Linked DNA regions of Danio rerio. The protein of the gene in region 2 interacts with the protein of the main gene of each other region in a pairwise test. Links are inferred from orthologs where the notes say so. Each region holds a gene or a part of one and is shown on either strand. Other genes may lie near its edges.

Region 1 (4,386 bases), on a different chromosome or scaffold from region 2:
CTCAGATTGTGCAAGAAGCACTGCATTAAATTACATTCCCCCGCCATGTCTTTATAATATGAGCATTTATTTTACCCCAGTATATTTATGAAGCTTCTGCGTTAGCCTGCTGAGTCTGACAGGTGTGTGCGAGTAAACGGCTTTTGTCTCGTTTTACGCTTGAGCAACTAAATAAATGCCAAAGTCTGTTTAACTGAATGTGTTTTAATTACATTACAACATTAATGCTGTAAAAGCAACCATATAAAATGGAAAAAAACTCACAATAACAGGTCACCGGAGGTTTATCAGTATGGGAAACACACCAGCTCACTAGGCATATACCCCATTTGCACAAAATGAAGGGTAATAAATACATGCTTAACAAAACATACTTGTGTAAGCAGCATGAACGCATTATCCGCTCGTAGGTTCTTCTTCAGAAACTCCACACAGTGTGCCTCTAGAGCCGGAACAGCGTATTTTTTAGCCGTGTAGAGAGTCGTCATCACTGTCTCGGGTCCGATATGAACTTCATCAGAGTACAGGAATCTGAGGAGAAACAAGATCTGCATATTTCTGGAAAGTGTAACGCATGCGTGCCGAAAAGGAAATAAGATGTCATACTTAAGCAATGAAAGGAATGCAGCAGGTTCTACATCCGGGAGCTCGATCTCTGTGGACGTGGTGGCCATGCCTCCATTGAACATGGCATCAAATACTGCACTGCCAACCGCCAGAACAAACCTGCAACAGAGAACATTAGATTTTAGATATTTAGAATACTTTTTAAGTACAAGAAATAATGCATTTATAATATTTGTATTCAATAAATACTATTTTAATAGGGTATATGCCGAAGCATGCTAATAGGACTTTTAATTTGCCAGTAACCTGGGTTAACTGATTCCGGTGAACTGAATGCCACTGCAAAATTAGTGCGTTTAAGATATGGTTTCTTTAAAAATCTCCACTGCCTGAGTGATATCTGATATAAAGTGGGTCTCAGATTGTGCAAGAAGCACTGCATTAAATTACATTTCCCCCATGCATGTCTTTATGAGCATTTATTTTGCCTCAGTATATTCAATGGAGCTTCTGCACTAACCTGTGGATTCTGACAGGTGTGTGCGAGTAAACAGCTTTTTGTCTAGTTTTACGCTTGAGCAACTAAATGAATGCCAAAGTCTGTTTAACTGAATGTATTTTAATTACATTACAACATCCATGCTGTAAAAGGAACCATGTAAAATGGAAAAAACTCACAATAGCAGGTCACCGGACGATTATCAGTATAGGAACAACACTGGCTCGGCATATACCCTATTGCAAATAAGCATTGAATTGTTATCTTTTTAATAAATGCAAGTTAAAAATGTAAACGTAATTTAATGATAATAACAAAACCAGAAAGAGAAAATCTAAAGAAAACGAGAACATGTCAGCTAATGAAGTAAAAAACAGGACATTTTTTAAATGCATAATAGTATATACTAATAAAAATTCATTATAAAATCAGATGAAAAAATAATATAACCATGTCAGCTAATAAAGTAAAAAGCAACAACAATGGGATGAATTTATAGAGTAATTTTAATTATTTACATTAAAGTTTTAACGTTTAAGACGTGCATAAAATGAGACATTTGTTTTAGTAATTATATGACAAATAATTATAATTACCATAATAAATTCAACTGTAACAAACAAAACATTTAATAAATTTCATTACAAAACTCTCTATAATATTTACACTATAACAGTATTTGTATACTTTTGCCTTTCAAATTAATATCTTAACTTGATTTCTAGTTTAGTAATTACACAAAAACGTAGGTAGTAAATAAATAAATAACTGAACACCACACACTTTGTTTTTATAAAATACCAATGTTATTGGCTCTCCTGTGTCACGTGACCAGGCGCGTGCGTGTTATGTTTGATTGCCAGCTGAATTTTTTTTAGCAAAAGAAGTTGTCAATCTTAATCCTTTGGTCAAAAAAAGCCATAAAATGACTTAGTAAAATATTGTAGGAGACAGTGTTATGATAGATAATGCCGTTTATAAAACTCGACAGCAACAGTCCCATCCAAATTTGTTATTATGCTGGAAAGTGCGCATGAACATCCCGCGAAACATTTCCTTTTGTGTTTCACGGATAAACAGCCAGTATGCAGTTCGGGAGGATACGAAGGTGAGTACATAAGATTTAATTTAACTTTCTGCCACAAAGAGATTGAGGTAACGTTAAAGTTGGTTTAATAATCGCACATTCATTCATTTTTGAACAGCGACAACTTTGCCATGGTCCCCTAACTTAGATTGTTTACACCCCTACTTTGAATATTAGGACTGAAATCGTATGCAAGTGTGACTTAAGAACAGCATTAGCACTATTTAATTGACTGTGAACAATGCTGTACGTTGATAGTCTGCTAATATGTTTCACTATTTAGAATTCGCAAACAACACATTTCTGAAATGATATTAGCGTTAGTAAGCGGAAAGTCTGAAGGTGCGAAAATAAAACCAACTTTAGCCCTTTAGCAATGAGTGTATTAAAAGAGTCACCTGTGCGCAGGTATCCGCTGGACTCCCATTCCTTTACCCACTAGAAAGTGAACGTCACTCAGTACTTCATTATTGAACAGAAACGCAAATCTCTCTTTCACGGTGCTTTTCGTCGCCTGCCAGTTATAAACAGGCTCCCGGTACACAAGCACGGCGGCAGCGGCTGGTGGAGCGGACAGGGCTGAGTGTGTGGCGGCCGCCGGTGTCATCGCTGCGTTAGACGGGCTCCCTGTCATGTTCGAGGCGGCCGGAGCCAGCGGGCCCACCACCGCCGCGGCAGCCGGGACAGCGTTCATCAAGTTCGGCGGAAGTCCCGACGCGACACCGGGGCTTTCAAGGGCCTGAGGCCCCGGTTGAGGATTTGAGCGTCTCGTTACCCCCTGAGAGCCTCCACCGCCCCCGACCGATCCTCCGTGACTCGCCGCCAATGCGAAAGGGCTGTTGCTCGGTTGACTGTTACCCAAAGGTCCGGGCACCGAGAAATTTAAACACGGAACCCGACCGCTATTGTCTCCTGTAGCCATCTTGGACCGAGGCGCGCACCCGCTGAATGAGTAAACAAATCGCGCGCACTGTCAACATCCGGTCCGAAGGGCACATGTGTGGAGTTTTATGTCAGATTTATTATTAATAAAATAGTAATAACTAATTGAATTTTGTATTTATATTATATATATATATTGTTTAGTTTTTATTTATAATTTAAATAAGTTTTTTTACATCTAAACACAACAGAGGTATAATGTAATGTTAATGAAATTATCTATAAATTAAGGAAAACATGCACATATGCGCTACATTAGTTATATTCAGAATAGCACACACTGTTATTATTATTTCAGCAGTACATTTTATCTGATGGTTTTGTACATAAACGCCTGTGGTGTTAAAACACCACAAACTGTCTCATTATGAAAAATAAAACTGATAAACAATTTCCATAACTCGGCGAGGTTTGTAATTGTCCTGCAGAGTGTTCAGAGCACAGTCATTATAATGTAGGAGATGGAGTAATCCAGAAATCCTTTGTGTCTCCCTCATAAAAGCACATCTTCGTTGTACCACGAAACAACTGAAGGCTATGCTAAAGGATGATGGATAACATGAATAAATGGTCTGTTGTCTTATATCCACTGTTTACCTTGCTCACTGTCCGTATTGTGTGTCCGTGTATTCATGAAAGTGACAGAATAAAAAGATATACAGATGATGAATGCTCGTGAACGCGACGACGCCCCCGAGCGGACGTCAGGAGGAGCGCGCCAATGACGTCACACCTTCACAGCTGCCGCAGATGCGGCGTTTCTGCGTGAAAAAAAGCCAAGGCGTGAAGCTGGAGTCCGTATAATCACTTTGAGCCTTTGCAAATGCAGTTAGAGAAGGAAACTGCCCAGATATATCCACACAAAGTGCTGCTCCTACATTTCACGAGCTTCCAGTAAAACTCCACACAGAAACGCCAACTGACCCAGCCGAGGCTCAAACCAGCGACCTTCTCGCCATTAATATACCATTGTTCATATAATTCAAATTAATTAATTAATTTTGCTTCGGCTTAGTCTCCTTATTCATCAGGAGTCACCACAGTGGAATGAATCGCCAACTTATCCAGCATATGTTTTACACAGCAGATGCCCTTCCAACTGCAACCCAGTACTGGGAAACAGTATACTCACTCATTCACACACATACACTTATAAGTGTATGTGTGAATGAGTATGGGTGTTTCCCAGTACTGTGTATATACTGTGTATGTATGTATGTATGTATGTATATATATATATATATATATATATATATATATATATATATACATATATATATATATATATATA
Region 2 (4,253 bases):
GTTCAGTTTTCATTTATAATGCATTGTAAGCAGACAAACATTGTGTGCAGATACGCACAAAACCTGCAAAGCACAAAGAAACAATTTTCACGCTGTGTCACCGTTTATTAAATAGTCTAATTTTATTTGTGACAGACACTGATTTACTTTTTTTTTATCTCCCTATAGTGACAACCACAGTGGCATGGTGTGAACAGGCAGTTCATGTATTAGCACAGCAATGGTTAAATGCTCATAAACGCTCTGGAGGAAAGCAGAATATTCACCAGAAGCATCATGCTCAGAGTAAGAAATGGGGATGAAGGGAGCGGAGAAAAGGGTAAAATAAGATTTGAAATAAAAATATTTCATGAGATTACATGCATAATTATTGTAGGTTTTATTTTTATTTTGGAAACTCTGTGGCACTTTTAAAACACTGAAGCAGAAATAATTTGCCAACTCTCATATTTCCCAGTTGGCCAAAAAATTAATTATCAAAGTGCAACAAAACAGCATAATGGCTGGCTGTCAAGTTCAGCTGTGATTTTGCTTGGTAAAAAAGGAGCGAAGGAAGAAAAATATATTTGAACTTCCATTATTGTTTTTAATATCGATTTGAGTATATATAAAAAAACTACTACTAACAATATATAATAGACAGTGACCAAAATGTTACTAATGGCCTAAAAAAAAAGGAAATGAATTTATAGATTACACACTTGATTATCAGTTCTTGTGTCACAGAGAACTAAAATGTTACTAGGGCTGCGCAATATATCGTTTCAGCACCAATATCACAATGTGCTAATACTCAATATTCACATCTCAAGACATGCAATGTTGAGTCTGGATTATAGTTAACCGAGTGGCTACAGAATTGTATTTAATTACTGTATTTATACAGAATTCTTACTTTTTTTTTTTTACACATAAATTTCAACACAAAAACAAGATTTTACTTGTTTGTTAAGATTTTATCCACTGAGAGAATTTAGCTTTAAAAACTTTTTTTTTAATAAATTAAAATTTTAAAATAAAACTATATTTTTACTTGAACTGAAAAGGTTTTGCTATTTGGACTAGAAATGAGACGAACCAAAGGAAGAAAAGCATTTTTTTGCATTGTGATAATTCAATTTCTGTACGTGAATACTGTTAGACTCCCCAGAAAACCAGCAAATAGAGCTCTTCAAACCAATATTTAATTGCAGAACCATAAAATATCACAATATCAGGTTTTTTCAATATTGGGTAGGCCTAGATGTTATCAATACACAATCAATACTCCTTTACGGTTAACAGATAATGCAGTTAGATCATGTGATCAAATGCAAGCACTACATTCTTAAATTTCTTCTCATTAACATAAAAACAACTAAACTGATCATAATGCATTAAATAATATACAAGTATTAAAATCTTTTAAACTGAAAATGTATAAAAAAAGGTCAAGTATTTTTCATTTTATTGTTTCATTGCCACCTCGGGTTTACAAGAACTTGTTATAGTAAAGTTATGGACCTAAAACGTTAACAGACATTTGGTGCATGGACAAAAGAAATGTGTCAGGTGTTAAAGTACTTTAGTTAATGCCATGGCAAGTTAAAACTATATAGAAAATGTTTTATTATAAGTTTTATGTAAAAACAAACAATTTATAATTGTGTAAATTGACAATTTATGTCTCTGAATGACCATGTTTTGAACCTGCATGACCCAACTGATCTGACCAATGACACTGTGAAATCAGGTTTAGGACCAATGAAATCCCTCATTAGCGGTTCGTTTAAGTTTACTAAATCTGGATGCAATTTTTAATTTTTTTTACGCATATTTAATTACAGCACACATCAAGACAAAAAAAACGTGCATCATAGCCAATTCCTGAATAATTACTTACTGATTTGATTTGTGAACATTTGTTTTATTTCATCACATTTTATCGATTTAAGATGTATTTGAGGTCGACATGTTTATTTTGGTGAGAGGATTCAGAACAGGTCACCCACGTTTCTCAATCCTTCGCCTCCATAATCACGTCGATGTGCACTTAACGTTCACTACACTCAGACCGCTAGACAGAGAAAAAGAAAATGGCGCAGAGACTAAGTCCTCAACCCCCAAAACCTCACTTTCACAAGCCTCGTTTGCTTATTGTCCATCTTCCAAAAACGCTCAAACGACGCCAACTGACAAATAATCTCTTTCTCTTTCGAAAGAGACATTTTTTGTTGGTTTTGAAGCATTGTAAAAGCGTTTTAAAAGGGCTCAATGTGAACAATAGGCGCTTGTCAGTGAGCGAGAGGGGACTTAGTCTCTGGGACGCCATTTCTGTCCTTAAAACTAACTGGTCGTCAAGCAAGCGTTAGAGGTTTAAAACGTATGAAATTGTATTTTAATCACAACGTGGCGATTAGACGAATCCCACTCACCATTATGTCTGGATCCCGAGTCGATCTGCGGAAAAACAGTGGTGTACAGTTAATGTTAAATCGTGCCATGTCAATAGGCTGCTAACTTTCAACTTGATGCTAGTCGGCGGTTAGCGCTCAAGCTAACAAGCCTGTTCATACAACAACGTTTAAATACCACCGCTGCGAGGGACAGAAGAGCATACAAAGTTTGTATTCCCAAAATGAAGTCTTTGATAGGGGACATTATTAAAAGTAAAGCCGCGAGTGATAGAAAATACTCCATTAACACAATCAAAGCCGACTTCCACTGTCTGTTAGCTTAGCATGCTGGTGGAAAACTGCCGCTGCGGATGGAATTTAAACAGCCGAGCTAGTGACTACAAAGCATCAAGAAAGAAAAAAGATAACTGACAACCACAAAGCACAAACACTTTACCTGGGAATCGTTGTGGGAATGGTCCCCACTCATTTTTATGGGTCTTGTTTTTAAAATAACACAGTTAAAAGCCTGTTAATATAAAATGCCGGCGAGGAGCTGTGGGCAGAATGAAGAAAGACACAGTTGTGTAACAGACCAAGCCCGAATTTCAAACCACTGCGCATGTCAGACGCGTTTAAAAGGATAAAAAGGCGTTTTTCCTGGCCTTGACTCCGCCCACACTGTGTTCGCGCACGGCTCCCCTCTGTGACGTCACTCCAGACTTACTATGGAGCCACGTGGTGCCAGTAAAGAGAGATTTGAAACAGTTATAACAACGATTATTACAATAAATAATCATTATTATAACAACAACCGAAATAAAAGTAGTCTAAGTAATAATGGTAATACAGTAACAATATGTTTAACATTTGATATAATAATATCCACATGTGAAAGTGTACTATCACAAAAAATTCCAGTCAATCTTTTGACAGACACTTGTTTAAAACCATTTACTGATGAGAACAATAAGTAATCAAAGACAAAGATTTTCAGTCTTTAAAAGACCCTCATATATGATCATTCTTGTGCTAGGGACTCCAATGCGAATGTAGGCTATAATATGAAATCCTTCTGCTTTTGTAATATAAGACACTTTTTAAATATTAAATATTGTGGGTATAAAATATTAATTGCATAATATAATAATGACTAATTAAAATAATACAATAAATAGTATTGAAAATAAATATTTGTTTATATATTTTAATTACATGGTTTTTGTTATTTATTTGTTTCTTTTATACTAAAAGACCTTGCATGACCAAAGACCACCTTTTGTGCTAAATCATCCTTAAAGTTCAACTAAAAAAGACACTATGAAAGACCTGAGAGTAAATTAAAAGCCCATTTTAACTTTTGGCTGAGGTGAACTGTTTGTTTTATTCCTAAAAATGTTGCTTTAAGTCATATTAACTAACGCAGTATAAATTGTAACATTTTATACTGAACTAATAGAGTAACAACATAAACAATCTTATTTATGACTAAATGGAGTTCAAAGGAGAATACAGTGAAGCTGCACCTGCCCTCACCTTGATTTGCTCGTAGAAGACTTGTGCGTTGTCCTCTATCTGTGTCAAGAGACAGTTTTCACATTTTAAAAGTGAACATTTACAACATTTAATCCTATCATTTAATTTCAGGTGGGGTTTTTAGCTCAGCAATAAAACAAAGAAACAAAAGACTACGTTCAATTCAAAATGACGATCTCTGTCCAAAGCATCCGCCCCACCACCTCCCCATCATTCTCCCTCTCTATTCAGATGGTATGGCGAGCCAAATCAAAGGTTACCATGGGCCAACTTTGGCCCGTGGGCCCTACTTTGGGCATCTCTGACTTATGGCTTTAACAGCTTTAATTGTCAAACCTGTAA

The links.
Region 1: the proteins of top1a (region 2) and btbd2b interact in a two-hybrid assay, tested with the Homo sapiens proteins (2 studies listed by BioGRID). The link is inferred for Danio rerio from reciprocal best matches to the Homo sapiens genes TOP1 and BTBD2.

The regions. Positions count from the first base shown.
Region 1 is NC_133177.1:60,990,444-60,994,829, forward strand, and holds the start of btbd2b (BTB/POZ domain-containing protein 2), read right to left. Parts: upstream 3,100-4,386; 5' UTR 3,076-3,099; coding exon 2,552-3,075; intron 2,175-2,551; coding exon of another isoform or gene 2,084-2,174; exon of another isoform or gene 1,887-2,083; intron 727-1,886; coding exon 607-726; intron 532-606; coding exon 375-531; intron 1-374. Other genes in the region: protein unc-13 homolog A, read left to right, coding at 2,084-2,174.
Region 2 is NC_133186.1:27,367,332-27,371,584, reverse strand, and holds the start of top1a (DNA topoisomerase I, like), read right to left. Parts: upstream 2,986-4,253; 5' UTR 2,866-2,985; coding exon 2,833-2,865; intron 2,440-2,832; coding exon 2,415-2,439; intron 1-2,414. UniProt on the Homo sapiens protein: Releases the supercoiling and torsional tension of DNA introduced during the DNA replication and transcription by transiently cleaving and rejoining one strand of the DNA duplex.